Linked DNA regions of Lytechinus pictus. Each later gene encodes a partner of the first gene's protein in a complex. Links are inferred from orthologs where the notes say so. Each region holds a gene or a part of one and is shown in the gene's direction. Other genes may lie near its edges. The genes, in order: eukaryotic translation initiation factor 3 subunit C-like, eukaryotic translation initiation factor 3 subunit B-like, eukaryotic translation initiation factor 3 subunit L-like and eukaryotic translation initiation factor 3 subunit I-like.

The links.
Region 2: eukaryotic translation initiation factor 3 subunit C-like (region 1) and eukaryotic translation initiation factor 3 subunit B-like share a complex: the UniProt entries of both Caenorhabditis elegans proteins name them as parts of the eukaryotic translation initiation factor 3 (eIF-3) complex. The link is inferred for Lytechinus pictus from reciprocal best matches to the Caenorhabditis elegans genes eif-3.C and eif-3.B.
Region 3: eukaryotic translation initiation factor 3 subunit C-like (region 1) and eukaryotic translation initiation factor 3 subunit L-like share a complex: the UniProt entries of both Caenorhabditis elegans proteins name them as parts of the eukaryotic translation initiation factor 3 (eIF-3) complex. The link is inferred for Lytechinus pictus from reciprocal best matches to the Caenorhabditis elegans genes eif-3.C and eif-3.L.
Region 4: eukaryotic translation initiation factor 3 subunit C-like (region 1) and eukaryotic translation initiation factor 3 subunit I-like share a complex: the UniProt entries of both Caenorhabditis elegans proteins name them as parts of the eukaryotic translation initiation factor 3 (eIF-3) complex. The link is inferred for Lytechinus pictus from reciprocal best matches to the Caenorhabditis elegans genes eif-3.C and eif-3.I.

What each region holds. Positions count from the first base shown.
Region 1 is NC_087246.1:16,950,615-16,958,456, forward strand, and holds the start of eukaryotic translation initiation factor 3 subunit C-like, read left to right. Parts: upstream 1-4,822; 5' UTR 4,823-4,981; intron 4,982-7,842. UniProt on the Caenorhabditis elegans protein: Component of the eukaryotic translation initiation factor 3 (eIF-3) complex, which is involved in protein synthesis of a specialized repertoire of mRNAs and, together with other initiation factors, stimulates binding of mRNA and methionyl-tRNAi to the 40S ribosome.
Region 2 is NC_087254.1:11,012,931-11,020,892, reverse strand, and holds the start of eukaryotic translation initiation factor 3 subunit B-like, read left to right. Parts: upstream 1-4,948; 5' UTR 4,949-5,144; intron 5,145-6,365; 5' UTR 6,366-6,485; intron 6,486-7,007; 5' UTR 7,008-7,011; coding exon 7,012-7,065; intron 7,066-7,962. UniProt on the Caenorhabditis elegans protein: RNA-binding component of the eukaryotic translation initiation factor 3 (eIF-3) complex, which is involved in protein synthesis of a specialized repertoire of mRNAs and, together with other initiation factors, stimulates binding of mRNA and methionyl-tRNAi to the 40S ribosome.
Region 3 is NC_087254.1:6,009,129-6,016,980, reverse strand, and holds the start of eukaryotic translation initiation factor 3 subunit L-like, read left to right. Parts: upstream 1-4,840; 5' UTR 4,841-5,004; coding exon 5,005-5,040; intron 5,041-7,852. UniProt on the Caenorhabditis elegans protein: Component of the eukaryotic translation initiation factor 3 (eIF-3) complex, which is involved in protein synthesis of a specialized repertoire of mRNAs and, together with other initiation factors, stimulates binding of mRNA and methionyl-tRNAi to the 40S ribosome.
Region 4 is NC_087261.1:4,539,958-4,546,861, forward strand, and holds the start of eukaryotic translation initiation factor 3 subunit I-like, read left to right. Parts: upstream 1-3,901; 5' UTR 3,902-4,016; coding exon 4,017-4,019; intron 4,020-6,904. UniProt on the Caenorhabditis elegans protein: Component of the eukaryotic translation initiation factor 3 (eIF-3) complex, which is involved in protein synthesis of a specialized repertoire of mRNAs and, together with other initiation factors, stimulates binding of mRNA and methionyl-tRNAi to the 40S ribosome.

The sequences.
Region 1 (7,842 bases):
AAGAAAGAAAGAAAGAAAGAAAGAAAGAAAGAAAGAAAGAAAGAAAGAAAGAAAGAAAGAAAGAAAGAAAGAAAGAAAGAAAGAAAGAAAGAAAGAAAGAAAGAAAGAAAGAAAGAAAGAAAGAAAGAAAGAAAGAAAGAAAGAAAGAAAGAAAGAAAGAAAGAAAGAAAGAAAGAAAGAAAGAAAGAAGACAGAAAGAAGGAAAGAAAAAGGAGAAAAAGAGAGGAGAAAAAAAGAAGAGGTAAAATAAGAGGAAGAAGACGAGTGAATGAAATAAGGTGAGCCGGGGAAGACATTTTTCATGATGTCACTATTATACAAAATTTTCGCTAACGCTTCGTGCTCGCATTTTCTTTTCTTCTATGAGATACTTTATCTTGCTTACTAGATTAAGGATCATGGAGCTTAAAATATCATGTTTTGAAGTCTATATATATAAACATTTCTCTGTATGACATCGAGCTTTCGTTATTTTGTTTGATTTACAAATTGATTTTTTTAAAGTGTTCCAAAATTTCCGTTTTATGGTCAGCTCGCGCTCCGCGCTATATAGCTTCTGATTTGTCAATTACTTATTATCTTCTTGTATTCCATAAAGTTCTCAAAATATCCCTTTTTAGGTTTGATTGCCTATTAAAACGTATTTTGATTGGTGAGTTATTTATACCATATTAATTCTAATAAATCGACCTTTCGTGACATTTTATCCCTTAATTTCGGCTTGCGATTTGCGCTCGCATTATTTTTGTCAAAAATATATTAACCCTTGCATCCTTTTCATAATTTTTTTACAAAAGTGCTTAAAATGTCAAATTTTATGGCCTTAATATCAACAAATTTCGCGTTCTAATTAGACTTATTAGATTAGTAAATAAGATAATAAAATTTTCATGACGTTCCTAATAATCAATAATTTGTCCCTTTTTTAGAATGGAATACCGTCAAGGTTCATCTTGCTCTTAGAAAGAGGAATAGAAAGATAGTCATTATTTTCATATGATGACAAATATCCTTACAATGCCTGGTCCTAGGTCAAAATAATGATAAAAAATTATTAGCTCTCGCTTCGCGCTCGTGTCATTCATCCGATTCATATCCAATTCAGAATTTTCCTACACAGTGCTTGAAATAGTGCATGAATTCACCCTTTTCCAGATCGAAATATCAAATATTTTCAGCTCGCGCTTCGCGCTCGCCTTATTGATTTTCATAAACAAAATAATGTAGGCCTATTTAGAATCTAAATCTAAACACGCGCGCATGTTTATTGAGATTTCGACTTGCCCTTTATTTAAAACGTGCATAAAAATCCAGTTTGAGATCAGAATATCTAAAAATTTCTGCTCGCACTTCGCGCTCAAATTATTAATGTAGGAAGATGTAACATTGCGTTGGTTTCAATATAAAGTTGTGCAACGTATTATATATTATTTACAAAGTATTTGCTTTTCAAATCGAAATTAGTTTCAGTAAACAAAATGTATACCTTCTGTCGAAAAGAAATCGAAACAGTTTTGCATCTGTACTCGGAGTGCGGGCATGTTAATCACATTTGGAAAAAGTTAGAGGACTGGATTAGGACCAAAACCAGTGAGATTCTTCATTTTTCAGTTAAAAATAAAATATTCGGATTTATTGGAAAAAAACAACTGTGCACTTATTATTTGATTGTGGAAATATGTATCGTCTTCATTGGAAACTGCAAATAGTCCTTAACATGCCCCTTTTGTTCAGGATCACAAACATTGCTCAAAATGTTCAATATTGAGGACAAAATAAATGAAACTTCAAAAAATCTTAGCTCGCGCTTCGCGCTCGCATTATTTGATTGTTGAAATATGTATTGTATTCATGGGTAACTGCAAACAGTCCCAGAGCGGATATTAAAAATTTCTCGCGCTTCGCGCTCGCAGTAATTATTTAATACATACGCATCTTTTTCAGGATCAGAAACATATTGCTCAAAATGTTTAATTTTCATGATAAAATACATATAATTTCCAAAAATCTTAGCCAGCGCTTCGCACTCGCACTATTTAATTATATATATATGTTATGTTTTAATGAATAAAGCTATAAGAAGTATATATATATATATATATATATATATATATATGTATGTGGGTGTGTGCGTGTGTAAGAACAATGGAAAACTCAATTGTGACCCCCTCCCCCACCTTTGAGGAGAGATGTTCAGCACCCCAGTCAAAAAATCGTTCCCAGGGACCTGTTATAACCCCACCTATAATCATATTAGGCCTAATATATAGGCCCGAGCGTGCATGGATTTGGAGGGACGTCATAAAGGCGGCCAAGCTCAAAGTTGATTTTTGTTTGTTTCTTTGAAGGGGTAGCCCCAAGCCCCCAACAGTCACTTCTTAGCTATATTTGTGCAAGCGCGAATTTTTGTAAATTTCATGTATTTTATCCTGATAATTCAACATTTTTATGGGCATGTTTGTCATCCTGAACAAGATGCGTATAAAATAATGTAACTAGATAATTACTTCGAGGGCCCATGCGCGAGCAGAAATTTTTAATCTACGTTCCGGCCTGCATGATCGAAAAGGGACCTGCTATACTGTTTTCAGATAGCCATGAAGACAATTTTTTTTCGACAATCAAATAATTTCACAAAGCAGCTATCCTGGTCGGTATCCGGGGTTGGTATGCAAATGAGCAGAGTGATGATGTCACCCACTCACTATTTCTTTTATATTTTTTTTTCGGAAACATGAAAAAAAAATCTAATTTTCTCCCCATTGTCAGTGAAACAAAACTTTTATTCCTCCCTGAACACGTGGAATTGCCAGTATTTTAACAGTTTATGGTTAAGTCAAGTCAGGATCCATATTGTCGAATCTGTAAAAATTGAAATATTGTATTTAAACCATAAAAAACAAAAGAAATCGTGAGTGAGGGACATCATTAATTGACTCTCATTTGCAAGTCACGGAGTTGTGCATAACGTGCATGTTTTGTGACTACGAAACTTATAGAAGACTTCCTTTAAGCGCGAGATAAAACTTGTCGATACTTTCCTTTCTAAAAAAAAAGGGACAGTACAGTAAAAATTCATCATTTTTTAATGAAAATGTTAATATTTTATCTAGGCTAATAAGCCTATATAATGAGAGCGCGAAATGTGCTGAGGCATGAAAACTGGACATTATGTTTTGTGATTATGAATAGGATGCATGGGTTATCGCGAGATTGATAAAATGGGCTCGATGTCCGAGCTGAAACTTGTATATTGACTTCAAAACTTGATATTTTAAGCCTTCTGAGCAAGATAATCTCATTGAACATGCAATGCGAACCCGAAGCGTGAGCGAAAATTTTATGTAATGCAAAAAAAAAAGATTTGAAAAATCATTCCCCTCGATCACAATATGTTTATTAACTCATCTTCTTCATCCTCTCTTTTCCCTCTTCTTTTATTTTCGTCTCTCTCCCCTTCTTTTTTCCCTTTCTTTCTTTCCTCTGTTTTCTTTCTTTTTTTCTCCGCCAATACAGTGCGTATAAAAAGGGACAGTTTTGAACAGTCTATAAATAATTTGTTTCAAATTATGATATCTATATTTTGATGTTAATAATGCTCTGAAATCTTATCTTTGAAATTCAATAAAAAAATAAAAAAAATAATGTTTATGCTCGGGCAAACACGGGACGTTTTTGTCGGGGGTTCAAAAAGAGGCTTGCGCCAGAATGGCAGAATATGAGTAATATGATGATCAGACTTCTTGCTAATCAGCAGACTTCCTCTAACCTTTTCATTATCTGTGCCATAATTTTAAAATTATGCTGTCAAATTTTATTTACAAATTTATTTATTTACTTGAATTATTATTTTTTTTTTCATTTAAACTTCTTTTACCTTTGAATTTTCCTTCATAAGTAAGAAAAGAAGACTTTTTGTCAACCCAAGCAAGAAAATTTGCATTATTAATTGGGAAAACTTGTATAATTATTCAAATCCTTTTATTATGTGAAACAAATTATGTATATGGTACCTTTAAAGACATGAATCAATTTTTCAAGGGTTTATTGATTCCCGTTTGACCAAGTTTAATTATATGCTTGACAGGACAAACAGGAAGGGATTCATGTCTTTCAATAGCAATGGTGTGTTGAGTCAATTTTGAAGGAGCTAGATATGGCAGATCGGGTAAAAATTAAAAAGTTGTAAGCGAGCGAAGCGAGCACGCAAATATTCCCACTTTTTTATTACAATATCAAATTTTGTGATATAGATTTTGACATAATATTCAGAAAATGATATCATATTTTACTTTCTGTCTTTCCTTTTATTTCCTTTCCACTTTTTTCTTGGTCATGATTTTTTTTTAATTGAGGGGGGGGGGGGGAGCATCCCCGAGCCCCCGCCCATAAAAAAGTGGCACTGTTCAAAAGGCACCATAACCTTTGTAGCACACAATGAAAGGATTTGAAAAAAATACACGCTCTCCCATACTTCGGTTGAAAAAAAAATTGTTTTTGCTTGAAGATCGAAGGAATATTCAACTCTAAAAGAGAACATATTAAAAAGAAACAACAACAAAACAATTCATAATTTGAAAGTTATGGCAAAGATAATGAAAAGATTAAAATGAAGTCTGCTGATTAGCAAGAAGTCCGATCGTCATATTTATCATTTTATGCAATTTTGGCGCAAGCCTCCTTTTTAACCCCAGACAAAAACATTTCGTGTTTGCTCAAGCATGAACGAAACTAAAAAAAATTAATGGCATTTAAAAGATAAAACTTCAGAGCACCTATGAGTGCTGAGTTTATTTTGGCCGAGTCACAACTTTTCGCCCATGCATTTCACATTGTGCACGTGTAGCCCACTTCCTAGAATGCGATGGCTAGCGTATAGCTATGCTAGCTAGATGCGAGCGCGAGCGCGAGCGACCGCGAGCGTTCGCGCGCGCCTTCATATATGGCGGATTATGATTCCGAGATTGCTCACGCAGGTTAGGTAAGAAAGTTAACATATTGCACATTGTTGAACCAAATTCGCATTAAGCACTGCATTTGTTGAATGAATGTGAAAAATGTTGACTAGTTATCTTTGAATATCATGTGTGATAGTTTTAAAACTTATGTGTCGTTCATTATAAATCCTGCAAAGAGGAGCTATGTCGCAGACCTTTTCGTTCTGTCGATCATGCGCCCATTCATTGCGAAGATACCTGGCACAACAGCGTAAATTGCGATATTGTTCATGTTCAAACTGTTCACATCTATCACGAGAGTGTGATAGTTCCCGTTCACTTGTGCACGTAAGAAATCGCACGTGCCGAAAACGGGCGATTTGTGCATGATGGACCTTAGGGTCGCCATTTAGGCGCTAATGCAGTTTCGCATCAGCCGACTTCGAGAGAATTTCCCCACCAGTAACTTCGAAAATAGCAAGTCTCTCAATCAATTCATCAGTTATTTTTAATTTTACAAACTGGCTCAAAGGCAAGTCAAACCTCGGCTGGTCTCCAAAAGATGGCTGTCAAATGTATTGCCGTAGACTACGCCGGTAGACATGCGTGACCCAATAAACGCAAATAAAGGGGTGTTTTTCAGTTTTGGACGCGGGCCGCGCGTGCACTCGTTAAGGGTATTAAAAACACATATTTTCAGAAAAAGGGGTAGTTTTGAAAGACTGGTCAATGGTTAATCGCAGGGTCAAACATTAATAATTTAACCTTTTAGGGTATTTTTTTTTCCAAAGCTCTTTTTTTTAATTACTAAAATACTAGCCAAACATGTCTAGGGTATGTTTTTTTTTCCCGGGGTCATATTCTGGCAACAACTTGTTTGGTTTGGGGGCCAAAATTTGTAAAGAAATCCCGCGAAAAACTTGTTTACACAGTGGCAAATTGTCCATAGACTGTGTACAATGGATAGACCGTCTCGGCTCAGCGAGTCGGAGACTGCTGATTGGCCAATCGCGCAGATCACGTCATGACTACGTGGTCACCAAAATAATCCCTTCGGACTGCGTGCGAAAGTATCAATAGTGCTAACGATATCCGGTCACATTGTCTACGCGGGAAATGGTCTTGGTTCGTGATTAGATCGCTCCAGTATCGATCAAAAATTATCGAGACTCGGCAATTTCATGCATATTCACGCGACGCTCCGAAACCCGGAGATCATTTGACTTTGTACACATTGAGATAGACTCTACAAACTTCAACGAACACGATGCCATATCGACGCTAATTCGTAAGATTTTGACGGAAAATCAAGAATTAATCGAAATTCGCTTACCTGTGCGGTATCAGTGATAAAATAGTTCCTCCAAGAATACCTTTCATAATTCATATAAAATATAGGAAAGTGAAATTCTAGGTCGATTTTGGTATGATAGAGAATTGCACACTTGTTTTGGTGGAATACTGTGTGGGGCAATGGAAGGCTTGCAGTGCGCATGCTTACTATATTTTCATTCATAAATTGGCTCTCGGCAGTGGCTGGATGACGTCATGTAATAAGCAACATGTACACGCCCGCTAGCGTTAAACGCACCGCTATCCGTTCTATACAATTTGCCACTGTGTTTTAGGGGGATATTTTGCACACAGAGAAAAACTCGTTTAGGGGGTGTTTGCAAATAATTTGGCCACGCGTGTGTACAGCAATACATTTGACTGGCCCCCCAGGGTCGGGTCTTTGACCTGTGCGCGCCATTCCAGAGACTTTATACAGGGCGCGACAAACCCGCTTGCCCGGGGCAAGTGGAAATGATGTGCTTGCAAGCATTTCCCTAAGTCAATTGCCCGATCGGGCAAGTGGTTTTGGAAATAAAATAAAATATCAGCAGACCCTATATAGGACAGCTGGAGATCGTGATTTCGCCTCTGAAAAGTTAAGCATAAACAGCACTCCCAGAACCACGTTTACAATCGGCGTTTTGAATCGACGTTTGAAAACGCTGATTCTGTCCTCGCAATGGAAGCATAAACACACCGTAAGTGACTATTGCTGGTCTGTAGACACCGAGAGGCAAATAATTTTTTGTATAACTTTATGCCCAATTCCAAGGGATTTCCCAGGTATCATATTTTAAGGTCAACATGGTCAATATGCGATTACGCCCACTGCTTTTCCGAATATTGCATATCGGGAACAGCTGTATTTCGACTTTAATTGGGAGGTCTCCGTTCAAATTCTCAGACATCATTTTCCTTGGATTTTCCGTAATTTTGATATGGACTGCAGTTAGCGACCAATATGTGAACATGCGGCAAACAATGGGTGAGCTGCTGGCAGACAGATATTTTGGTCGCTAACTTCAGTCCATATCAAAACTACCATGAAGTCTGAAGCCAAGCATTGCCAAAGTGAAGCGATGAGAATTTGACAGTGATCTTATCTGCTTAGGTCAACCAATAGAAGCATCTCTTCTGTAAAAACATTTAGTGCATTATTGACATGATGCATAATTTCCCATGCGCCTCTGACGCTTATGCTTGTGCACTACAGTGCTTAAAATACATGTGGCTGCTCTCCCAGGCATATTTTCTTTGAAATGATCCATCATCTCAAATGAGATCTATTGCCGAAAAGTCATCAAATCCAACTCTGTAATATCTCTTGGATCCGAATGCCTTCTTTTGTCAAAGAAGTTTTTGCTGGATACAGCTAGAATTTATTGTTGACTGAGAAAAATCGCATGCTTCATTAAGTTACAATTGAATAGCCACTACCTCTTGTAAATTTTATTTTCCAAGGAAGTTAACATTAAGAAAAGGTTTGAGAATTTTCAGACTATCTTTCATCTCGATACGTTATCATGTCCACAAAGAAATTTATGCGCTGTTTTTAGATAAAAGCATAGTT
Region 2 (7,962 bases), on another chromosome or scaffold:
ACGTCGTGTCCCAAATTGTGCTTAATATTCAGCTGAACTTCCAAATAATACAGCAATTTTCATGCAAAGAATAATGCGTATGGTAGTTCGTGTGTTCAATGTTTTCCCCAATTGAAAGTTGACAAGATATTGAGGCAGTTACTCTCAGTAGTATTATATACAGGTTCTTCAGAAAAACCTTGTGGACATTTTACAATTGTGAACGGTTTAAAATATTTCACTTGGTATTATTCCGTTATTTTGTGTGAGTTAAGCATCTTGAAATGAAACAGCATATATCATATATGTCAACTCGATTTTAGAATAAAGATGACTTGAATAGTTGACAAGGAAACAGAAATACAAGCTCTATATATGTGTTTTATTTTTGAGTTCTCGGTGATTCTCATTTCTTAGGTCCGACGATCGAAACCCCTCTATCGTTTCCTAATAAATCTGAAATAAAGAAAAGTAGAATAAAGTTATATTTTCATCTTGAAGTTTAATTGCATCTAAAAATGATGGTAAACATAATGCGCCATGATGAAGTGTTTTGATGGTGATGATTTGCCTGCATGAAATGAAGTGTGGATTCTGATGTTTATGGTTTTATGGACATATACAAACAGAGAAAAAGTTTTAATGACTATTTCTTTTTTTTCCTAAGTGATGAAATGGATTCACGATGATGATTGGCCTTTGTGATAAATGAACTCAGGGTGATGATGTACGAGTGGGTGTGCATGGTTTTGATTGCATGATGGTTTGGATAATGGGCAATTCCGTAAAATGATCAAGCTTTCTGTACATTCGACCCCCATTTTTCTAAAGTCTTACATCACTTAATAAACTGGCCAAGTCATGGTCATTTGACAGCGTTACAGACTGTCAAAAGAACCAAGAATCATAGAGACCGAAAATTTCATGAAGATCCCAAATATAGAGGTTCGAACGTACATATTTTATGGAATTGCCCTAATAAAAATATGACAATAGTGCGTGATCGATGGTGGTTGACAATGATGATAAATAACGTAAGACTTAGGGTATGTATGTGGGGTGAGGGGGGGGGGTATAAATCAAATCAGCAATGATCGTTATGAAATCGGAATGAAACTCTATGTGAAAAATAATACTATTTGAAACAAAAGTCGACATTATTAAAATTGGACACTTAATATCAAGGTTACAGCATGCTTAAGATTTCAGTGAAACAACTCTTTACTGTCTTCATCAATATTCAATCATGAGCAAAGTGATCGTGTCACGTGAAATATCCCAATTTATTTTTTCGTATATTATAAAATTATGTTCAATTTGTCCTCCAAGAATGAAAACAAAAACTGACAACAGATTTAATACATTTGATACTCTTTGCTGCAAGGCTTGTTAAGGAGACATACCATACTCACATCTTATATGTGATATCTTAAGAAAAAAGAGTAGGGATGTGACATAATCGGCCTAATGAATATTGATGACGACGTGCATATAATTATCTTCACAAAACATCAATAATCTTTAAAATTCAATAACTTAGTTACTTTTTATCAGATTTTCATAAAAATTTCCAGCCTTTGCTTGGTGAATCTTACCCTATTTATTCAGAAATCATTTTCAGCCCTGAGTTCACCTTTCAAACATTTTATTAAGTCAAGTATAGACCTTAAATTGACATGAGGAAATTGATCTGGCGTGTGGTAAGCATTGGCGGCGAAGTCAAAAAATTTAGGGGGTTCCACCCGAAATTTTGTGATGATAACAGGTTAAACAAAATTGACAAGCAAAAAAAAAAAGGCAATCAACTAAAATTTTAGGGGGGGGCAGAAACATTTTAGGGGGGTCCACGCTGACTTTAGGGGGGGGACGCAGGAAATAAAATTGACAAGCAGAAAAAAATAAAATAAAACAGATTATCAACTAAAATTTAGGGGGACCACCCCCCCCCCCACCTCAAATTTAGGGGGGAACCTGTCCCGCCGCCGCCTATGGTGGTAAGAACATTATTATGACGTATTGCAATGTCATTCTGGTACGTCATACTAATGACTCATCACTCCATGCTGCACGTGGGTTGCCGTCGCACATCGGGGAATCCCTGGTACTGGTAGTACCAAGAAGCTCCTTGGTAGTACACAAAAGCAATGGCATATCGCGGTACGGCACGGTGCACGTAAATCACATGGTACATCCACACACCATTATTGTGTGCACATACGACATGTACTTGAATGCAAGTCCGATGATTTATGCATTGTGATGCAACCACTGATCTCCACTCTAAATAAGATGCAACCTTGTGCTTGGCGAAGTACTCGTAATCTCTATTGTGACGTATATGTGACCTTTCAACTAGAGCAGTGACCCAGACGTGTCCGTCTACGAACGCATTATTCATGAGCAGTTGATAAGTTGCGTATTTGAAAGGCAAACTTGACAACGAAAGCGGTAATGAATGTATTGCGCGCCCTTCCAACTCCGCCCCGGCCCCTTCAATGCGATGCGGCGTACAGCAGCTCTGTGTGTGTTTTAGGTCAAGCAAAATGTGCCACTATCGGTGTGATATCGCTTACGTTTTAATCTGAAAATGTGCCAAACTTTAGAAGCAAATATCTCTGGATTTAAATGCTTGTGAGTTATGAAACTTGATTTACATGTTATTTCAGATATTCTCTTCACTTTCTGCTACGTGACAGTGATTTAATTCACAAAATAGGTGATTTCTGAAAAACGTCCAGACACCCTACTAGTATGGAATAGCGGTTGAAAGCTTTAATGTTACAGTTCATGTGTTAACCTGTACTAGTACGTTGCTGATATTTTGATAAGATAAGAAGAACCCCCCCAAAAAAAAACATGAAAAAAGCCTGGCTTCATTTTTGTGTTCATCCATTTATTTTCGTCTCGAGTCAAGACGTCAAGTTCAGTTTCTGGATGCGCTGGTGGAGTTGTGTTACTGCTGGGGCGGTATTCTGAAAACTGTGTTAACGTGTTAACTTTGGTATAAATATTGACCGTGTTATCTCTGATTTAACACGCCCCTAATACCCCCCAAATCCGGATTCTGAAAACCGTGTTATCTCATTTCGTGTTAATCTAGCTTCAGCTCCTCCCAATCTGCATCTTTTTAAGCCAATCAAATGCGCTGTTAAAGAAAAAATCTTTTCAGGGAAAAGGGGAGTGTGCGCACGATGACATGAAGCCTGCATTGTTACATCATTTTGGAAACGCATAGAGCCTAGATCTACAGCTAAATAAAAAGTTAGAGCGAGAAAGAGACATGGGGAGGGGTGATTGTGACAATTAAGAATGGATTATTTCAGACAGCATGGGTACGAAATTATAACAGGAGACAGAATTAAAATTTGATGCGTGTAGCGATCAGCCCCTTCCCCCCCCCCTCCCCATCCTCCCACATCCGAAGCATATAGATTGACTGGCGGGATAGATGAATTAAGGATTACCTAGAAGCATTGAGAGTTTAAAAAATTGTATCAATGGAACTATATATACATGTAACCATTGAAAAAGGGTTTTAAAAAATTGTGAATATTATAGAAGAGTTCCCTAATCGCTAATTCCATTCTTTTTAATTTCCGTTCATGCTTTTTTAAAGATGTTTTTAATTTTCTTTCTCTCCTTTTTAGATGTTTTTAATTTTCTTTCTCTCCTTTTGTCTTTTTTATATTATGGCAAAAAGTAACCAAATAAATAACTCATGAGCATATATGATAATGATTTGAATTAATCCAAATTAAAGATGCATTTGAAGTGTATTTTCACAGGAAATTCCAAAGAAATTTTTGTTAAACTTTAATCATTGTTAGTAGAGAAAAGGGAGATGGAAAATAAAGCTGGAATAATGAAACAGGGATGCCAGTCTTCAGGCAAAAGCCTGAAATTCAGGCTCTGGCAATTTATTTTCAGGCCGTAGTTATAGCATTTTTGTGTACAAATTATTGTATTCTAGGTGATTTTCAGGCCCTCTGATCAATTCCAACTGGCATCCCTAAATGAAAGAAAATTACAGTAAATTCTGCCAGATGATAGCTTTATGCCCGGATATGTTCTTTTTGACGTTTGCGTCTGCTAGAAAAGTGCAGCCATCGTGTTCCCTAACTTAACCTCCTTATCGCAGTGTTGAATTTTTGTGTTATCTACTTATCTTTGAACAAAATTTTAGCTAACACCATTTTCAGAATACCAAATTTCATGTTATGTTCCTCCCTAACACCGCGTATGGGGGTTGCACGTTGCGCACTGCGTATTTCATGACCTACTCGGTGTTACCACTTGGGCCACATGTTTTTCATACTAACACTATTTTTAGAATACCAATCGTGTTAGCTGACACCGTTTTTGTGCTAACACGGTTTTCAGAAAACTGCCCCAGGTGTCTGGACTATGTCTCTGACCCTGACTGTGGTGACCAAATGCCCTTCATTTTTTTTTTATTGATGACCTTTTATTTTTGTATGTTAAATATTTGGTACAACAGTACAAAACCTAATCTAGTCTTCTAGAAATTCACCCTCTTAATCTCAGCAAAAGACTAGATCGCACATTGCAAATAACTGATGATGTAACAATATTAACTGAGCACTAAAAAAAGCCTTAACAAGATCAGGAAAAACATTTCTCACAGAGGATGTGGCTGGCACGGCAGATGATAAAGTTGAGTTGTAACATAAAAAAAGTTGTTCCACATTTTTTTTGACAAAATGAATCAGTAATGTATATGACTTTCTTCACGGAATGCTGTCAAAAAGTTTGATCTTCCTGTGAGTCTTCACATTTATGACCTTGTACACTCGCTGGGTCTAAGATCTTAGTTACGCTCAAATAGCAGAGCTATTTGAGTTACTGAAGAATAAATGGTGCATTCAATGTAAGTTATATAAACTTATTTTTAATCGAACTTGCAGATCATTCTTAATATTATAAACCTTGTATAAACCTCTCATTGCAGAACTTCTCGGTGATATACTTCGAACCAAACCAAAGGAAGCTCTTGGCATCGATTCTGTAATTGTCATCGACAATGTACCACAGGTTGGAGCAGATCGGTTACCAAAGCTGAAGAACGTCATCAGGAAAGTTTGTAGCAAGTATGGAGAGATCAGCACAGAGCACTATCCTGATGCTGAGGATGGCAAGACAAAAGGGTAATAATCTTTGAAGTTAGTGGGGGTGTCGGCTTTCAAGGGGGATTTGACACCACTCTTGGTTAACCATGGAAGATTGAGATTTATGACTTGTTATGTAATGCCACTGGAAAATGCCTTATATGGTAGTCATTTTCTCAGATTTCCTGGCCTGACACTGTTGCCCGAGGCTTCTTGCTGGTATACAGAGTTTGCTTTCCCCAAAAGATGTCTCTGTTATGTTTATTTCCAATTGGTCTAATGCCAATTCCTCTAATTACCAACTCATCTACTATCATTTGATCTATCATCAATTCGTCCACTATAGTACATGGTCCAATTGCCATTTCGTCCACTCACCTTTTTGGTAAATAACCAGTTGGTCCAATAGCCATTTAGTCCATAAACCATTTGGTCTAATTGGATAAGTGTTGAATGGGCGAAATGAATGAAAAGAAAATGGGTATAAGACTACATGTAACTGGTTATTAGACGTAATGGTCATAGACGAACTGGTGATTAGACGAAGTAATTATTGGACCAAATGGTTAATGGACCAAATGGTTGTTAGACGAAATGTTGATGGATGGAATGGCATGAGACTAAATAAAGGTAGACCATGTGATGAGTGGATGAATTGGCAATAGACGAATCGACAGCTTACCCTCTATTACAGGTATTTCCACTGCTTTTTACATAATCTGGGATCAACAAATAATCTATTCCCCATGAGAGCTGACACCCATTCACTGTAAAGGGCATTCCCCCCCCCCCCCCCCAACAAAAAACTTGATTTTGAATAGTTAGAGAAGAATCAAACTAATTTAATCAAAAATCGGATCTTGAAAGATTTCACAAAACATGTACACATGTACAGCACAGTGATGTGCTCATGAGAGAAGCAGCGCCACTGATTCTTTTGCCTTCTGTTACATGAATAATATTTCAATTTTTGCTGATATTTTGACAAAAAGAAGAATGGAGATAAATACAGCTCCTAGAATAGTCTGATGTTGGAGGATAGGAGAGAGTTCTTCCTCCTTTTCTTTCTAGTTCTTTCTAGGTTTCTTTCTAATTCTGTAGAATTGAAATATTCTAGTATTGGTACAAGGAATCTTGAGAGATCAAGAATCCCGAAGTTTATTACCAAGATTTGTTTTTACTGTTCTTTTGCAAAGCATCAACGGAGATCCTTTTTACGTAATTAAGAATTCTTATTCCTTTTTAATTTTTGCACCACAGGTATGTTTTCGTCGAATACAAATCACCTGAAAACGCCATCGAAGCTGCCAAGCAATTGAGTGGGTACAAGCTTGATAAACAGCATACGTTTGCTGTTAACTTGATCACAGATTTTGACAAGTAAGTTGCTCTTCTTGTAGCCATTTTATATTGTGATTTGATAGGGTCATCTTCTTGTGCCATAATCCTGATTTTGATAAGGACAAGGGTGTTGTTTCATGCTTTCATTTATTAGATGACACAATTTTAGTAGTTTATTATAGTAGTTTTCAACTTGTTATTGATGAGCAGCTTTGAAAGTTTTTTTTTTTTCTTTTGGGGGGGGGGGGGGATTTCTATGTTTGCTCTAGCTATTTGTGTAAGGAAAAGTGGTTCATGCTTTTTAGGGGCAAGGTTCTAGAGACTAAGATAAGATGTAGGGAGGGTGCACTGCTAGATGTGACCATGAGAACGTTGGACACACAGATCACAGAAATTTGCTCAGTTTGGCGGCGGCAGCTGTGATGTGTGGAACCCGGATTTAAATTAATGTGAAGAATTATGTCATGAAAAATTGCCTCGTACATAATTGTTGTAAATACATGTTCATATTTAAGAAAGGCTTGATTAATGATTTGATTTGATTGTTCCTTCTATTGATAGGTTTATGAATCTACCGGATGAATGGACCTCACCCGAGAAGCAGCCATACAAAGATCATGTAAGTCTAGCTCAGGCTTTTAGCAATAAACGTACTGACCCATCTTTACCCTTGTGCCTTGTGGGTAACTTATCCATTATGTGTGCACGTCACCTGGTCCAGCTATCCGTCTTTGACAGCTATGTCGGGGTGCTACATAACTTTTTGAATAGTTGGAATATACTTGCCCGAAATCTATTTCACTTGCCCGAAAAAATCCTTGAAAAAAAGTTTGCCTCTTCAAAAGAAAATATTGCGGTTAAACCATTGACCCTTTTTTCTCTCTTTTGACATGAACTGATGTACCTTGTTCTTACATTTCTTTTTCCAAAGTGATTTTATCTTTTCCACCATGACCCTAATTTTGGTCATTCTACTGTGAGAATTTTTGCTTGCCCAATTCGGGCAAGTAGTTTTGGTCTTTACTTCAAAACATTTGCCCGACTTTAACTTTTACTTGCCCCGGGCAATCGGGCAAGTGCTTATGTAGCACCCTGTATGTTCAATAATTTTCTTGCAGTCTTAGGGCCTTTTCACACGAGAATCTTGAATAATCATTGTAATGATGATTGCAATTTGTCTTTAGAATCATTGTACCATTCACACGTTTGCTTGAAAACTGATCTGAATTCGAATTCCTGAGCGAAGGCGGTACTGTGTCCTTGGTGACTTGTCAATCAAACCCAATCAAAGCACTGCATTGCAAAAACGAAACGATGAGTGCATGACAATTGTATTATCTACGGAAGTGCTTGAAAGGTCACGTAAGCTCGGCCCCTCAAAAGACGTCGGGAGGTCAACCCTTTCAGACGAAAAATTTGTACCGTAATTTGAGTGAAACTTAATGGAATTCACCTCCGGAGTAGAATTTGAATTCGTGATCGTGATTAGCGTTCATGGTTCTAGTTCAGTTTCACA
Region 3 (7,852 bases), on another chromosome or scaffold:
TGATTGATGTCAGCCAGTACTTATCACTTCTCGTGCTTTTTCATCATCCAAAAGGCCACTTTCATTTATTAACATTGATCAAAGCGTGAAACAAGTTTAGAGGTTCGTAATTAGAGGAATAGCATGTGATTGTGCATTTCAATATTTTTTGTGCATCAAATTTCATCTTTTAGTATTGTTAGTGACATGTCTAATAAGCTATCATGTGTGTTTGATATTTAGAGGCGCGTGATTGCTGCGAAATAGAAATGATTTAAACTGACAAGGTAAAATGTAATTGCAGAGCATGAGAATGCCAAATGTCACACAGAATTCCGCGCTCTATTCCCCTCCAAATGGAACCAAAGTTGAACAAACTTTGGGGTACACTCTTAATTTCAAGGATTTGAAATTAATCCAGATTGGATGTGAATATTGACCAGTCAAATATTGGATTTATTTTTAATCTGAAGGGTTAACCTTCAAATCTCAAAAGATTTAAATTCAATTCTCAAAAGATTTAAATTCAAATCTCAAAAGATTTAAATTCAAATGTTTTAGCTTTATATTTTAATCCATAAGGTTTAAATCTAAATCCAATCTACACATGTATTCTTGTCTTACATGGAGAGAGAGTCACATCTTATTGCTGATTATTTAAAATATCATTAAGCTAAAGTTTCAGTTTGATTTGTAATTATATTGCTTAGTTATCTACAGAGTAGCCTATATAGGCAGAGATAAAATTCATTTTCTATAACCCTTTGTAGATTCGGCCCTCTGTTATGACGAATTTAAATTTCACATGTCTTGATATTACTGCATTTTGAGTGTGAGCTTTTGCAGTATTTATACATGTAGTTAGAAACAAATATATTATTTAGTTTTCCAGACAAGAAGGATTGCTAAAGTAGTGTACACAACCATGCTTTCTTCCTTTCTTAAAACAATCTTTAAGCAGATGCATGGTTTGAATTGTAGAAAACGATTCAAAGATTATATCAGAATGTAGTATTTTTTTCTTTAAAAAGAAGTGAATTAATAACAATTATCAATTTTTCATTTTATTATAGTTGTATCTTCAGCATCGTTTCAGGAAACAAACTTTTCACTTATTCTTTACAAAGTTATTTTTCGAACTTAACATTGTAAGAGATAACATGCATGCTATCATTGTTCTTAAACTGCCATTTTTTGTTGTACAAACAACCATTTAATGTGTCTTAGAAATTGGTTTATAACATATGTGTATTTTGAAAATAATTTGCCTTTTATCATTGTAAAGTAAGCATTTTCAACAGTTATGTAAATCAGTTTACTCTTAACAAATAAATATGATGAGGTAAAAAGCAAATAATAAATATATTCAATACATTAATCTTATTATGTGAGTTGCATGTTCATTTGTTTTCTTTATTTTGTAGTTTTAAGATTAAACATGCATGAGACTCAAATAATTTTTGATACAGTGTTAAATCCGAGGTCTTATGAAGCACACTGAAAGCTTCCTAAAATGTGATTTACAGAAGGGTTGTGATATAAAGATAAAAAAAATACAGGGTGTGTGAGAGAGAGAAAAAGAGAGAGGGAGAGGGAGAGAGAGAGGGGGGGGGTAGAGAGAGAGTAGAATGGGTGATATGAATCATAAAGATCAATAAAAATAAAGAGGGGGTAGGAGAGAGAGAGAAAGAAAGACGGGAAGATGGAGAGAGTAGCATGGGTGATAAAGATAAAACAAAGCAAGCGGAGAGAGTGGGGGAGAGGTATCGGGAACGAAAGAGAATAATAATAAAATAATATTAATCAGTTCTTGGAGACGCATAATACCATATGAATAGTCTAGAGGCGTGTGAAAGAGAATGTGAACAAGGGAGATAGAGAGAACAGAATTGAAACAAAAGAAAGATAGAATAAAGAAATAACAGGAAGATTTACATTAATGGGTCTTGAATTACAAACTGTTACACCTTTAGCCTGTCACGGATCCCCCTCCCACCAAAAAAAAAAGGAGAAATGAAAGGGAGAAGGAAAATAAAAGGGAAAGGGGGGGATGAAAGGTGAGGAAACGATGGGAAAGAGGAAAGAAAGAGAAGGGGAGAGGGGTAAAGGGAGGGGAATGAGAGAAGAAAAAGAAGTGAAAGGGAGGGAGGAAAAAAATGGAAATGGAAAAGAATGAAAAGGGCGAGAGGAGAGAATAAGAAAGAAATAATAATGATGATGCTGGTGATGATGATGATGATGATGATGATGATGATGATAATAACATTTACATTATTATATTGTAATTATTTCCCCGAAAGGAAAAAAAGAAAAAGAAAAAAAAGGGAAGAAGGAAAAAGGGAAACTTTTTAAAAACAATTTATGATTATTTTTTTTTTAAGTAAAGCTCAATTTCATTTGGCAAATTAAAACAATCAAGAAGTTACAAAGTAAACAAATACATAATAATGAGCCAGGACCTCTGAAAAACCATCCTGTGCTTATATTTGAGGCCCTGAATGACAATTAAGAATTACAATAAAATACAAAAAATAACATTAAATTAACTTTTTTTTAAAACATAAGTATTAGCTAAAGGCCTGCACACCATACCTATAAAAAACCACATACACCTGCAAACACACATTGCAACATAAGAATAAGGAAAGTGAGAAAGAAAAATTAGATAAGAGAGGAATAATAGTAAGAGTGAGAGCGAGAAAAGTGGATAAAATGAAGAAGAAAAAAAAAGGAGTCTTCTCAGCCAAGGATGATAGTTTATTTCGAAAAATTGATGTTTCAGTAATAGTCTGAAACGAGAGAGTGTTGAACATGACTTTAGATTGTTGCACTGTGAGTTCCATTCATGAACACCTGTGTATCGAATAGAATGAGTTTGCATTGTTCAATGAGTAAAAGGGACACAAAGATTATTGCTTTTCACCTATTTTTCACAAAGAAATTGAAATTACAAGCGGTGACCCCCATCCCCCATAAAAGGAGAGGCAGAGAGGGGAAAGAAAAGGAAGGGGGAAGCAGGGGCGTTGGAACGAGTTTTAAAGAGGGGATACTTGTTTGTCCAAAAAAAAAGTTTCACAAGCAAAAAATTGGTCTTTTGGTCTGACGCGGCAGGGATTTGAACCCCCAACCCACCAGTTGTGAGACGGACGCTCTACCAACTGAGCCAACACACCGGTTCCATACCATGCTTCCATACATAGGAAAAGCGAAAGTGGAAACACGACACCGCCAGTCCACATATTGCATATTCATGACGGCGTGCATCTACTTTTACAAAATAATCTTATATTAAAAAAAATCATCAACTTCCTTGTTTGTTATCATATTTTGACTGCCCCCGAACTGAAAATCAAATAGAATAAAATAAAGGTTATGTATTAGTAAAATAAGCGCATTTTGCTAGAAATAATCAATACATCAACTGACATGCATTACTTATGATTTATAACCTTTTTAACCTTGCATATTATTTTTACTGACTCAAATTGTTGCTCATAATTATTTCTTTCAATGTAAACTTTGTTATATTTTAATCAACTTTCTATAGTATACATGGCAACAAGGTTGCTTTTGAAATCTGAAGAGGGTACGTTTAAACCGAAATTAAATAAAATTGAATTAAAGTGAAATCCAACACAAATAAAAACTTGTTTTTAGGGGAAAAAGCAAAATCAGACAAGATGATAGGTGAAAGTTTGAACAATATAGGACAAACATAAGAAAGCTATGAATTTTTAAAAGTTGTAAATATTAGTAATCACTTTATCCATGGAGACTTCAAATTGGCCGCATACGTGATGTCACAGTGATGTAAGGCAAGGACTACTCTTCCATGTACTCCAATACATAAAATGGCTAAAATGACGGTTTTTTTTTTCAAAAGTTTTACTTCAAATTATATTTTTCTTTCATGAGGACATAAAACAATATACTACCTGGGCTATATTTAGATTACTGCCCCAGGGGAATGGGTCAGACTTGGGAAGGAAGACCTGTGGGTTATGGCTATCAAGTAAGCCTTTTCCATACCCAGGCAGCCTCTCCAACTCTCATCCAGGTCTTATTTTCTCTATCAGTGTAAAATTTTGATTGATCTTGTCTCTGATCTGTTTTTTTTTTTTTTTTGAAATGCCAAATAAAATAATAATAATGATAAAAAACAAATTCAGTAGGTGGTGATCGACAGGCCTATATTTAATACGTAAGGCCTTGTCAGGGGCAGTGGAATGATTTTGAGAGTGGGGGGGGGGGGGGGGCTGAGCCAAAAGTGGGGCTGTATATATCAGTCAATAGTTGATTAAATAATGAATGATCATAAACTAATGAATTCCATGTATTAATTCATTCTCTGAATTTACGCATTCATTCATATTGGTTTCACATTTCATTTTTTAAATTTTCATTTGGTGTTATATGAGGTAATTTTGAAGAATGATAGGCCCACGCACATGGCTACACACTTCTTGAGGTACGGCAATACGTACAATGCATGTTTGAAGACTCACCCCCTAAAAAAAATTATTAAAAAAATATTTTAAAAAAATGTGTAGGATGTGACCAAGTAAACGTAAAACAAGGATTTTAAATAAAAAAGAAAATTTGGAAAAATATTTTGGGATCATTTGGGGCACGTACCTGCCCCCCTTTTTCGTGGATGTGTAGTCTACAGATCCATAGACCCTTCTTTTTTGCACAGTGTAGAGTACTAGTAGTATCGAGTATGAAGTAGGAGACTGGATTCACTCATCTTTTTTGGCTTGGGTTTGGAGTTTATTCTCCATATATAATACTAGAGGGATGCGGTAATGTTTGTTACGGTGTCAAATTTGAGTCTGTATAACTTTCAGTGTACGTGACGTCCGAGAGCTAGATCTAGAGCATGTGCCTACATACGCGCATGCGCACGCACGAAGATCTGTTCCATGTGTGATAAGAGCTGCCTTGGAATCCGGAGTTGGTGAATGAAAACGCCTGTAAATCCTTCCAACGAAGTCCTTATATTTGAAGTATATTATTATATCAATCATGTATAATCAAGGAAAAGATTACAATGATCCGAAGGTGAGTGTATCGTGAATATATTTAACCACATATCGCCATATGTATACTAACTTAGTTACTCTGCTTACCCTCTTTTTTATTGTAGTCCCACGTGTGATATTTTGTGTGATGTATTTATTTAATTGAAAAGAAAGATCTTGCAATCAATCTAAGTTTGATGTGATAAGAACAATTGTACTTGATGCCCCCAGGGGACATTAACTTTTTACCTTTTGGTACTCCTTGATTTCCCGATGATTCTTCGTTTCCGAAATGTAAACATTTCTTTTCTCTCACTTAAAAAAAAAATAGAAATAGGGTTAACGACACTCCTAGTACCAATGAGGTCCAACATTACATGTATGGACCTCATAGGCGACATCAGTAGTATTTTGTGTCAGAAATCTTTGTGAAGATGATTATTTTTGTATTTTATCAAAACTCCAAGCTATCGTACTGTCTAATCATTACATTTCGATCTCACTAATTGAATACATTGTTAGCAATAAAAAAAATTGAAAGAAATGAAGGGGAACTTACATTTTCACGGCTTTTTCCTGATTTTCTGGGCAACTGCTCCTCTCTTCTGACTCGCGATCGAAGCTGATATGAAGATCACGTGATTCGCGTTCTCGTCAGCTGATCGGTTGGTTATTCTTTTCGTCAGACGTTAATAATATATATTTTATAATGCTAGCATTCATCGCTAATTTAGGTGAAAGAGATTGAAGTTAAACAGCGCCAGGTCGGAATCATAATTATTTTGGAAGAGTGTATTTATACACTCGATCTCATACCTGACGTAGATGGCGCTATTCAACAAATGCACAATCTTCAATATAAAAATAAAACAGAAAGAACGCCTTGAACACAGGCCAAAATGCCTAACGATTTCTCCGCGGCATTAACAACTATCGTAAAGGGCGCTCCATTTATCAATAAAGATGGACGCTAAGCTGTCTATGGCGACAAAATTTGCCGCAAATATTTACGAAGAATTGTGAGAAATGGTCTGAAAATGCAACAAAAGAACCGGTGAGTACCGATTAAACATTATTAAATTTATAAATAGATTATACATACCTTGTAGATTTAGTTTTTAAGGTGATATTAGTGCTTAGTTCTAAGCTAGGGAGGCCCAAACGCGCGTGAGTGGAGTCCCAGTTTATTAGCACGGGTAAGTATTGGGGTGTCGCCTAGAGTGGTTAACGATGAGAATCTGGGATCGTGCGAACCGGCGCCGCAGCAAGCCGCAGCGCTCTCGTTGTTGGACACAAATTCACGGATGAAGTTTGCACCAATAAATAAATAATCTTTAAAAATATAAATCATAATATATAAATGATTAAAACAACACCAGTCATACTCACAAATACTATACTGATCCTGACTATAATCCTTCGTTGTCTAAAAAGTCGCCGATGCCGAAGATTTCAGTGGATTTTATACCCCAATTCCTCCAGAGTTTTCTCTCTAACCCACGGCGAGACCAATGCAGAAGTGACCGTGTTTTTTCACATTTTGATCATTTAATTGCTTATGATTGGCAACTGGTAGGTCTAAGAAAAATGTGGGCTAACTTCAGCAAAAGAACTTTTGATAGAGATTCTGATGTCAAATGTACATAGCCCCGCCCCCTCAATCCAGAAATAATGATGAAAAAACAAAAAAAACTATGATCCCGTGCATTTTTTGAGCTGCACATTATATGGTCGTTAGAAAATCGTATTCTAGTGTTATTCCTGTTGGTTTCATGCCAATACCTATCAGGGTTTTGGTTTCCCAAGCAAAAAACTAAAAATGACGTCATCCAGTGCTGTTGAATATTCACGTTTCCGACGATCTTTTTTATCACGTGGTTACGATTCCTCATGAATATTGATGAATCAGTAGCGTGGCGCGACACTTGACTTTTACGTCTAGTCTAAAAAACAGTCCTTTTTGAAAAAATATTTAGAGAAATACAGTCGCTGCCATGTAAAGTGAGGAAAATCAAACGAATGAAAAAAATTAAAGACTGGATATTAGTCTAAATTATTTATGAATGGAATTTTCCACAACTTGAATGGAAAGACCGCATGCGAGAGATCAAATGGCACATGTTCGACCCCAAGCCCGTCAAGAGACCTAGGGAATTCCCCTGATTGACGCAGGAATTCAAAGCTTGATCGATGGGCTTCAACATTCTATTTGAAGAAATAAAATTCAGAGAGGATGAGAGAGCGTGAGAGAGATGGGGGGGGGGGGGAGGGAGAAAAAGATCTGGGATTAAATTGCTAATAATACAATGAAACTGTTCAACTAAAAAGCTATTTTTATTATTTAGCTCTACCGATGTGTTCAAGTCACCCCCATTAATAAATGAACTTTCAAACTTTAATTGACAATAAAAACAAGACCCAGCTTGTCCTGCCTTTCTCACCATGGATCTCAACAAGAAGGCACCTCTTACCCTAATTTTCAAGAGATTTCCAATCAAAGGAACAATATTCACCAGTTCTTTTTTTTATATTAGTTTAATTAGTACATATTCCAAAGTTCACCACGTTAATTATTTACAAGATTCTTTTTTTGATGTCCATATATTTAAAAAAAAATTAATTTTGATGTAATTGTTCACGAAATAAATAAGCAAAGACCAGGGTTTGAGAGTATCATCGGCACGTGCGAGGTGTTGAAATTTTAGGTGAGTACTATTACGTTTAAAAAAGGAAATAATACAATAATACAAATAATATCTTGAAATTGGCAACGGCATGTCATGAATTTTAAGCTAGCTAAGGCCGGTCTATGCTAGTACCGTATACGCAGTGCATTAGTACCAGGTGCGCTG
Region 4 (6,904 bases), on another chromosome or scaffold:
GAGGAGCGTGGGCCGGGTTGGCCAAAGAGTACAGTATAAAAATCGTACGATCGGTAGCTAGGCCAGGGGGACAAAGATGAAAGATGGGCGTGGTCGCTCTTCAAGAGTTTATTAACCACAATGGTTAATAAACTCTTGGACCGTTGTATAGGTCCATGATAAACTCTTCAACTGAATGATATTATTGATAATATAAACTGTTTGGAAAACAAGATCATCTCAAATGGAATCAGAGCCCTTCTGGGCATTGTACGTGGCTCTTCTTTTCTCCTTTTTCATTGCTAAAGGTGGAGTGAGTGGATAAATGCATAAGTTTCTGAAATTCAGATGGATCAGGCAGGTCAAAGATTGTTGTTTTTCAAAATGATGCAGTAACCGTCACAGGTTATGTTCGACCGATAAAAATAGTCAATATCAACCAAAATTCTGGTAAATTCTAACTTATGGTTGATTTTGACCATTTTTGTCGGTTGGACACATAATCATCAACACAAATTATTTTGACATTTTATTAAAGGGATGGTCCGGGCTGAAAATATTTATATCTAAATAAATAGAGTAAAATTCACAGAGCAAAATGCTGAAAACTTCATCAAAATCGGATATCAAATAAAAAAAAGTGAAGTTTATCAACATTTTGTGAAAACAGTTATATGCACACTATCATGAATATTCATTAGGTGGGCTGATGATGGCATCCCCACATTCATTTTTATAATGTTATTACATGAAATCATAAATGTTTCATTTTTTTATACATGTGTAAATGATGTGTCTCCATTATGATGAAATAAGTTGCGGCGATGAATAACTAATGCACTTATAATCCGTTGTCAATCCAATTGTTTTATTTCTTGGTAGAATTTCTTTTAAAATAAACCTTATTTCATATAATAAAATAAAAAGAACAAGTGGTCAAATTTTCAGCATTTTGCTTTGTGAATTTTACTCTTTTTATTGGGATAAAAATACCTCCAGCCTGGACCATCCCTTTAAGAGTCAAGAATCCCTATGACAGTCTGATTTTCAAGTAGTGAAAAGGCCGAAAATGCACACTCATGAAATTTTGTTCTGATTCACCTTGCAATTTACGCTTTATTCTCATTTCGAACATAGACCGTGCAAAAATAAAATTGTGCAAAATGAACTGTCACAAACAAAAATATTATTTGATTGCTTTCACTGATTGTTAACAGATGTGCGACAGTAGCTTCATGATGATGATTATGATAATAATAATGAAATAAGTTTGGAGCTGACCCATGATGATCCAGCCAACCTAAAGAGGAGATCAGGGGGGCGTTTCATGAAAGGACTTGTCGGACGTTTTATCCGACAAGTCCCATTTTATCCGACAGTCAGACCTGCCGACAGTTACCATAGTAACAGTACCTCTCAGCCAATCAGAATCAAGGAAAGATGTCAGATCTGACAACTTGTCGGATGAAAATATTGATGAAACGCTCCCCAGGGCCCTGGGAGCGATTTTTTAAATTGGGGTGCTGATGTAAATTTGAAGAGCAAAAAAAAAGGTTTTCACTACAAAATGGAAGTGATATTATTGGTCCCAAAAAATAAAAAAGAATAAACAAGAGTTATCAATACAAAATGGAAGTCATTATTGGTCCCTACAAATTTGAAAAGGAGGGGGGGGGTTCACTACCGGTATACCAAATAAAGGCCCCTCGATCGGGTTATATTTATCCAATTTTTTTCTCACTCCTTCCAGAATTTCAGGAGGTGCTGTTTCACTGTAAAATAATACATGCAGCACCCCAAACAGGCGCAGCGGACGCATTTTTGTTGGGGGGGGGGGGGGGGGCAAAGAAAAAAAAGGGCACTTATATATCAAAATGGGTATTTGGTTGCAAACGAATATTTTTAACATGAGATTATCATCTGCGTTAAGAAGTTTTGTGTTTTGTATTAAGTTGAGCAAAGCCTTTTTGAAGTGATTTCTGATAGATGAAATATATTTAGGCTTTGTTTTTCAGCGAGCGAGCGGTTTGGAAAATTTTTCCATTCTAAAAGCTGCTGTGAAACTCGCCTTTTGGTCAATTATCGCGCAAATTATTAGCTGTTAAAAGTGCATCCTTGCGAGATGTTGCGAGCGCGAATCGCCATGCTCAAACTTTTGGACAAATATCCTGAAAATTAAACATACCGAGCAGTTTTTGTTATCATGAAAAAAATGTGTATCTAACTAGAAAATTCGCGCGAGCTGAAATTTTTATACTGACCAGAAAAAGACACTGGTAAGGATTGCATTATAGTGACTGATGAAGATGATTTTATATCTCATCAATCAAATGACGCGAGCGCGAAGCGCTAGCTGTAAATTTGTGATATTCCAACCTGAAAACTGGATAAGCACTTTTTGTAACCAAGAACATAGGCCTAATGAGTACTTTACCAAATAATGATTGATGCGAGAATGAAGTGCGAGCTGAAAATTTGTGATATTCCAACCTAAAAACTGGACATTTTATTACAGCACTTTTGCAACTATAACAGGATGAGTACCTTACTAAACAATAATCGATGCGAGCGTGAAGCGCGAGCCAAACAAATTGTAATTTTCTAAGGCCTAAAATGTATTGTTTAACCTTAAAAAAAAAAATTATTCTGTAAAAGGGCACATATATCATTAAAAAAGGGTATACTTTCCATTTAAAAAAAGGGCATTTTTCCTACTGGGAATTTTTGGGGAAAGTGCCTCCCTGCCCCAAGGAAAATCTTGGGGGTGCAGGCAGCACCCCAGGGGAGCGTTTCATCAACATTTTTGTCCGACATGCATGTTGTCAGATCTGACATCTTTCCTTGATTTTGATTGGCTGATAAGCAATGTTACTATGGTAACTGTCGGATAAAATAGGACTTGTCGGATAAAACGTCTGACAAGTCCTTTCATGAAACGCTCCCCCGTTCCCAGGGCCATGGAGGAGGCAGAATATGGAGATGTGAGGCTAATTAAGCCTGCGTTCAGAAGCATTATTTCGTTACATCCCCCCCCCCCATTTTTACACATCTTCAAGAATACCTGGGGTGCTGCATCCCCTTTAACCTTTCTTTCCTAGAGCTCCCATTTCTCTTCTTTCACTTCCCTTTCTTTTCCCTCAGCTCCCTTCCTTTTTTTCTGATCTCTTTTTCCCGTCCTGGTTAATGTCCCCACTATACCTCTCCCCCTTTTTTGAAGATTTTCAGGGGGGAGGGTGGCATATGTGCCGTGTACCCTCGATCATAGATCTGCCACGTACCGTTACCAGCAAGGATTGCTTATTAGCTGACAGTGCAACGCATAATATGTAGATCGCGGGAACGATTTTCTAAGAGGGGGTATATACTGTTTTTTTTTGTTTAACAAAAATTTGACAAGCCCACCCCACACAAAAAAATAGTCTCCACTTCCAAAATATTGCAGGTCGGTGATTAAAAAAAAATCACAAACCCCCCAAAAACAAACAATTAAAAATCCTCCCCCCAAAATAAGCAAAGAAACAAAATAATAGCAAAGGCCTTCATTCCAGATTAAAAAAATAATGGCAAGCAGGCAAAAAAAAGAAGAAGATAATAATAAGCTGAAATTATTCAGTCCCGAATGAAGGCGTTTTTTTTGTCAAACCATTATGTAGGAATATGCTACCCGGGTATGCGACTATCGCACATGTATTAATTTGGTAAACAAAGCCGAATGATTTTAATGATAGAATACCAACCAAAAAATTGGGGAGGGGTGCTTCAGTCCTCCTCTCCCCACCTCCCCTCCGGTCCCCTCCGCACACGCTTCCCATGCATGCCCATAGATATACTAATAACTAATAGCGTAATTAGTATACATCTCTTTGTGCATGCCATACAATGTCGGAAACCCCTTTTTTATCATTGAAAATTGACAACGTCTGATCGTAGACTAATTTAGATCCCGCGCATGTGTTGCAAAATTCTACCGGCTGGTATCATAATTTCGTGAAAGATTGTACTGATTCTCTAATTCGTCACTGATATAATTTTTTAAAATGGTAAAGTATGAATGTTCATATTACGTAGTATTCTATGTATGATTTTTTGAGAAAAATATTAAACTTAACTATGAATTAAAGGACTGTTAAAAAGTAGTAAAAAAGCTCATGACACAGAAATAGATACGTGGGAACGCACGTCAATTCAATGCATTGTGACTGACGTGACTGTCATTTTGTGAATGTGTGATTTCTAGTTCGGTCATCGGTGTTGCCTGTGTTTGTGTGTTGGTGTTGAGATGAGAGTGTAAAAAGGCCACTGACCGAGCTGCAACACCAATGAAGCTGGGTTCAAAAGAACGATACCGATTGCATTATCGATAGCTCATGTGACGATTGACGTCGTGCCTCTGCGCTGCACTGCTAAATCTTTATCATGCGTGAAGTTTATCATTACGAAAGTTAAATCGGAGCTAGACTCTAGAGAAATGGATTAAATTCTCATCGTACAGAATACCGGCAATGGCAATGCCAAGACCAGAGTGGGGGGGGGGGGGGGGTAGTCTTGAGGACTCCATGATGATGTCTTTTTTAAATACTTTGACATATTATAGGCCTACTTCTTCATCATTGGATTGGAGTCTTGAACCCCAGTTCATATATGTATAAGAGACATGTAAACAAAGATGGATTTCCTAGGGAAATCCATCTTTTAATATAAAAATCACGTAAATTGTTGTGATTTTATTAATCTCTACACCTTCCTACGCCTAATGCGTAGGAAGGTTTAAAAAAATGGTCAATTAAAATGTTAGAAAAAGGTTTCTTACCAGACCGATCTCGTGTAGATCCCTCGATCCACATGTACACAACGCAAATACAATAGGGTCGACCCTTGAACCGCTTATGTATAGTAGTAGTAGTATTTATTTCCGTATTAAAAGCACAATTATATACAATAAAATACGGTGGATAGCCCACATTCAGCGTGACTGGCACAGTAGCGCTGGTCTTCCGTGGGGTCCATAACATTTAACATTAACGTATAATTTAGACACAAATAAACCACATTAGAATAACAGATGTACAGAAGAAAAATGAAAATGTAAATATCAACAGTAAACATTAATAAGAAAAAAAAAAAAAAAAAAAAAAAAAAAATTAAGGGGCGCAAACCTAACAGGGAATGGGGGGGGGGGTACCGGAGTCCATGTGCTACAGATCAACAATCTTAGATTTGAAAATATTAATACTAGGGGATGATTTGATGTGAAGAGGAAGGGAATTATAAGCCATGGCGCTTTTATACTTGAAGGATCTTTTGAGGTAATTTGTTCTTGGTTTTGGTAATTTAAATTTGGTTCCGAAACGGGAGGGATACGTATGTGATACTAACTCAAATTCATTTCTTAAATATTTTGGAGATAGATTTTTCATGATCTTATACATGAGAATAAGGGAATGATCGTTTCTTCTTTTGTCCAACAATTGCCAATTTAGTGTATCATGCATTTCCAAAATAGATATATGAGATTCGGGTTTAATTTGGAGTATAATACGACCTGCTCTGTTTTGCAGTTTTTGAAGGCGGTCTGTGTATTTCCTAAAGGATGCATCGTAAACAACATCACCATAATCAAAGTAGGGGAGGATCAATGAACTATATATTAATTTCAGGATCGATTCACTTAAGGATCGCCGCAATCTTCCCAGAAAGCCGACTAATTGACCTATTTTTTGCAACATGTTGTCTATATGCAAGTTAAAATTCAAATAATCATCAACTATGATGCCTAGGTATTTGACATGATGAACTTGTTCTAATGGGGTATTATTTAAGGAAACATGAAGGACATTTTGTTTAGAAATCATATTCTTGCTTCCGATGAGCATACAGACCGTTTTTTGACAGTTAACACTTAACTTATTCTGGCACATCCATTGGTACATATTTTCTAAATCTGAGTTTAGGGCCTCGTTGATTCTATCTATGGAGGGGTGTGAAAAATACAAAACGGTGTCATCCGCATACAATTGGATATGACATGTATTAATACATTTCACTAGATCATTGACATATAATATAAAGAGCAGTGGCCCCAGGAGTGATCCCTGGGGCACATGGCAGTTAATAACTGATTCATAAGAGAGTTCCGAATTGATAAGAGTCCTACAAACCCGGTTTAACATGTAACTTCGAAACCATAAGGATGGTGTGCCAGAAATACCTAAGTTATTCATTTTTTTCAAAAGAATATCACAATTCACGGTGTCGAATGCTTTTTTTAAATCGACGAAGACGGCCCCAATGTAATGTTTAAGATCGATTGAGTGAAACCAGTCATTGGTTACCTTTAGGAGAGTGGTAATGGTTGAGTGCCTTGGCCGAAAACCGGATTGGGCAGGTGTCAGAATATCATTATTTCGCAAAAAATCTAAAACTTGCCGTTGGACAACCCTTTCCAGTATTTTAGATACGCAGGGCAAAATTGAGATGGGCCTATAATTCGAAGGAGAATTTTTATCGCCACCTTTGTGAATTGGGATAATCTTAGCTTGTTTCCATTGTTGCGGAAATATACCGCTTGACAAAGATAAATTAATCAACTTAGCAATACTCATTGATATCTCCATAGAGCATGCCTTCAAGACAAAGACAGATATCTTATCAACACCGACAGACTTAGTGTTTTTAAGATTTCTTATGATTTTCAAAACATCATGTTCGTTCACCTGAGTGAATGCAAAAGTCTCATTTGTATAATTACCATCTTCTGTATGGAGGTTCATATCGGGTATTTCACTGGCTAATTGTCTCCCTACATTTGCAAAGTAAGTGTTGAATAGGTTAGCAGTTTCAGTATTACAATCCGAATTAGACGAAACTGTGAGATTTTCACGTTTTTTATTCGGAATAATGGACTTTAAGGTTTTCCAAGTCTGTT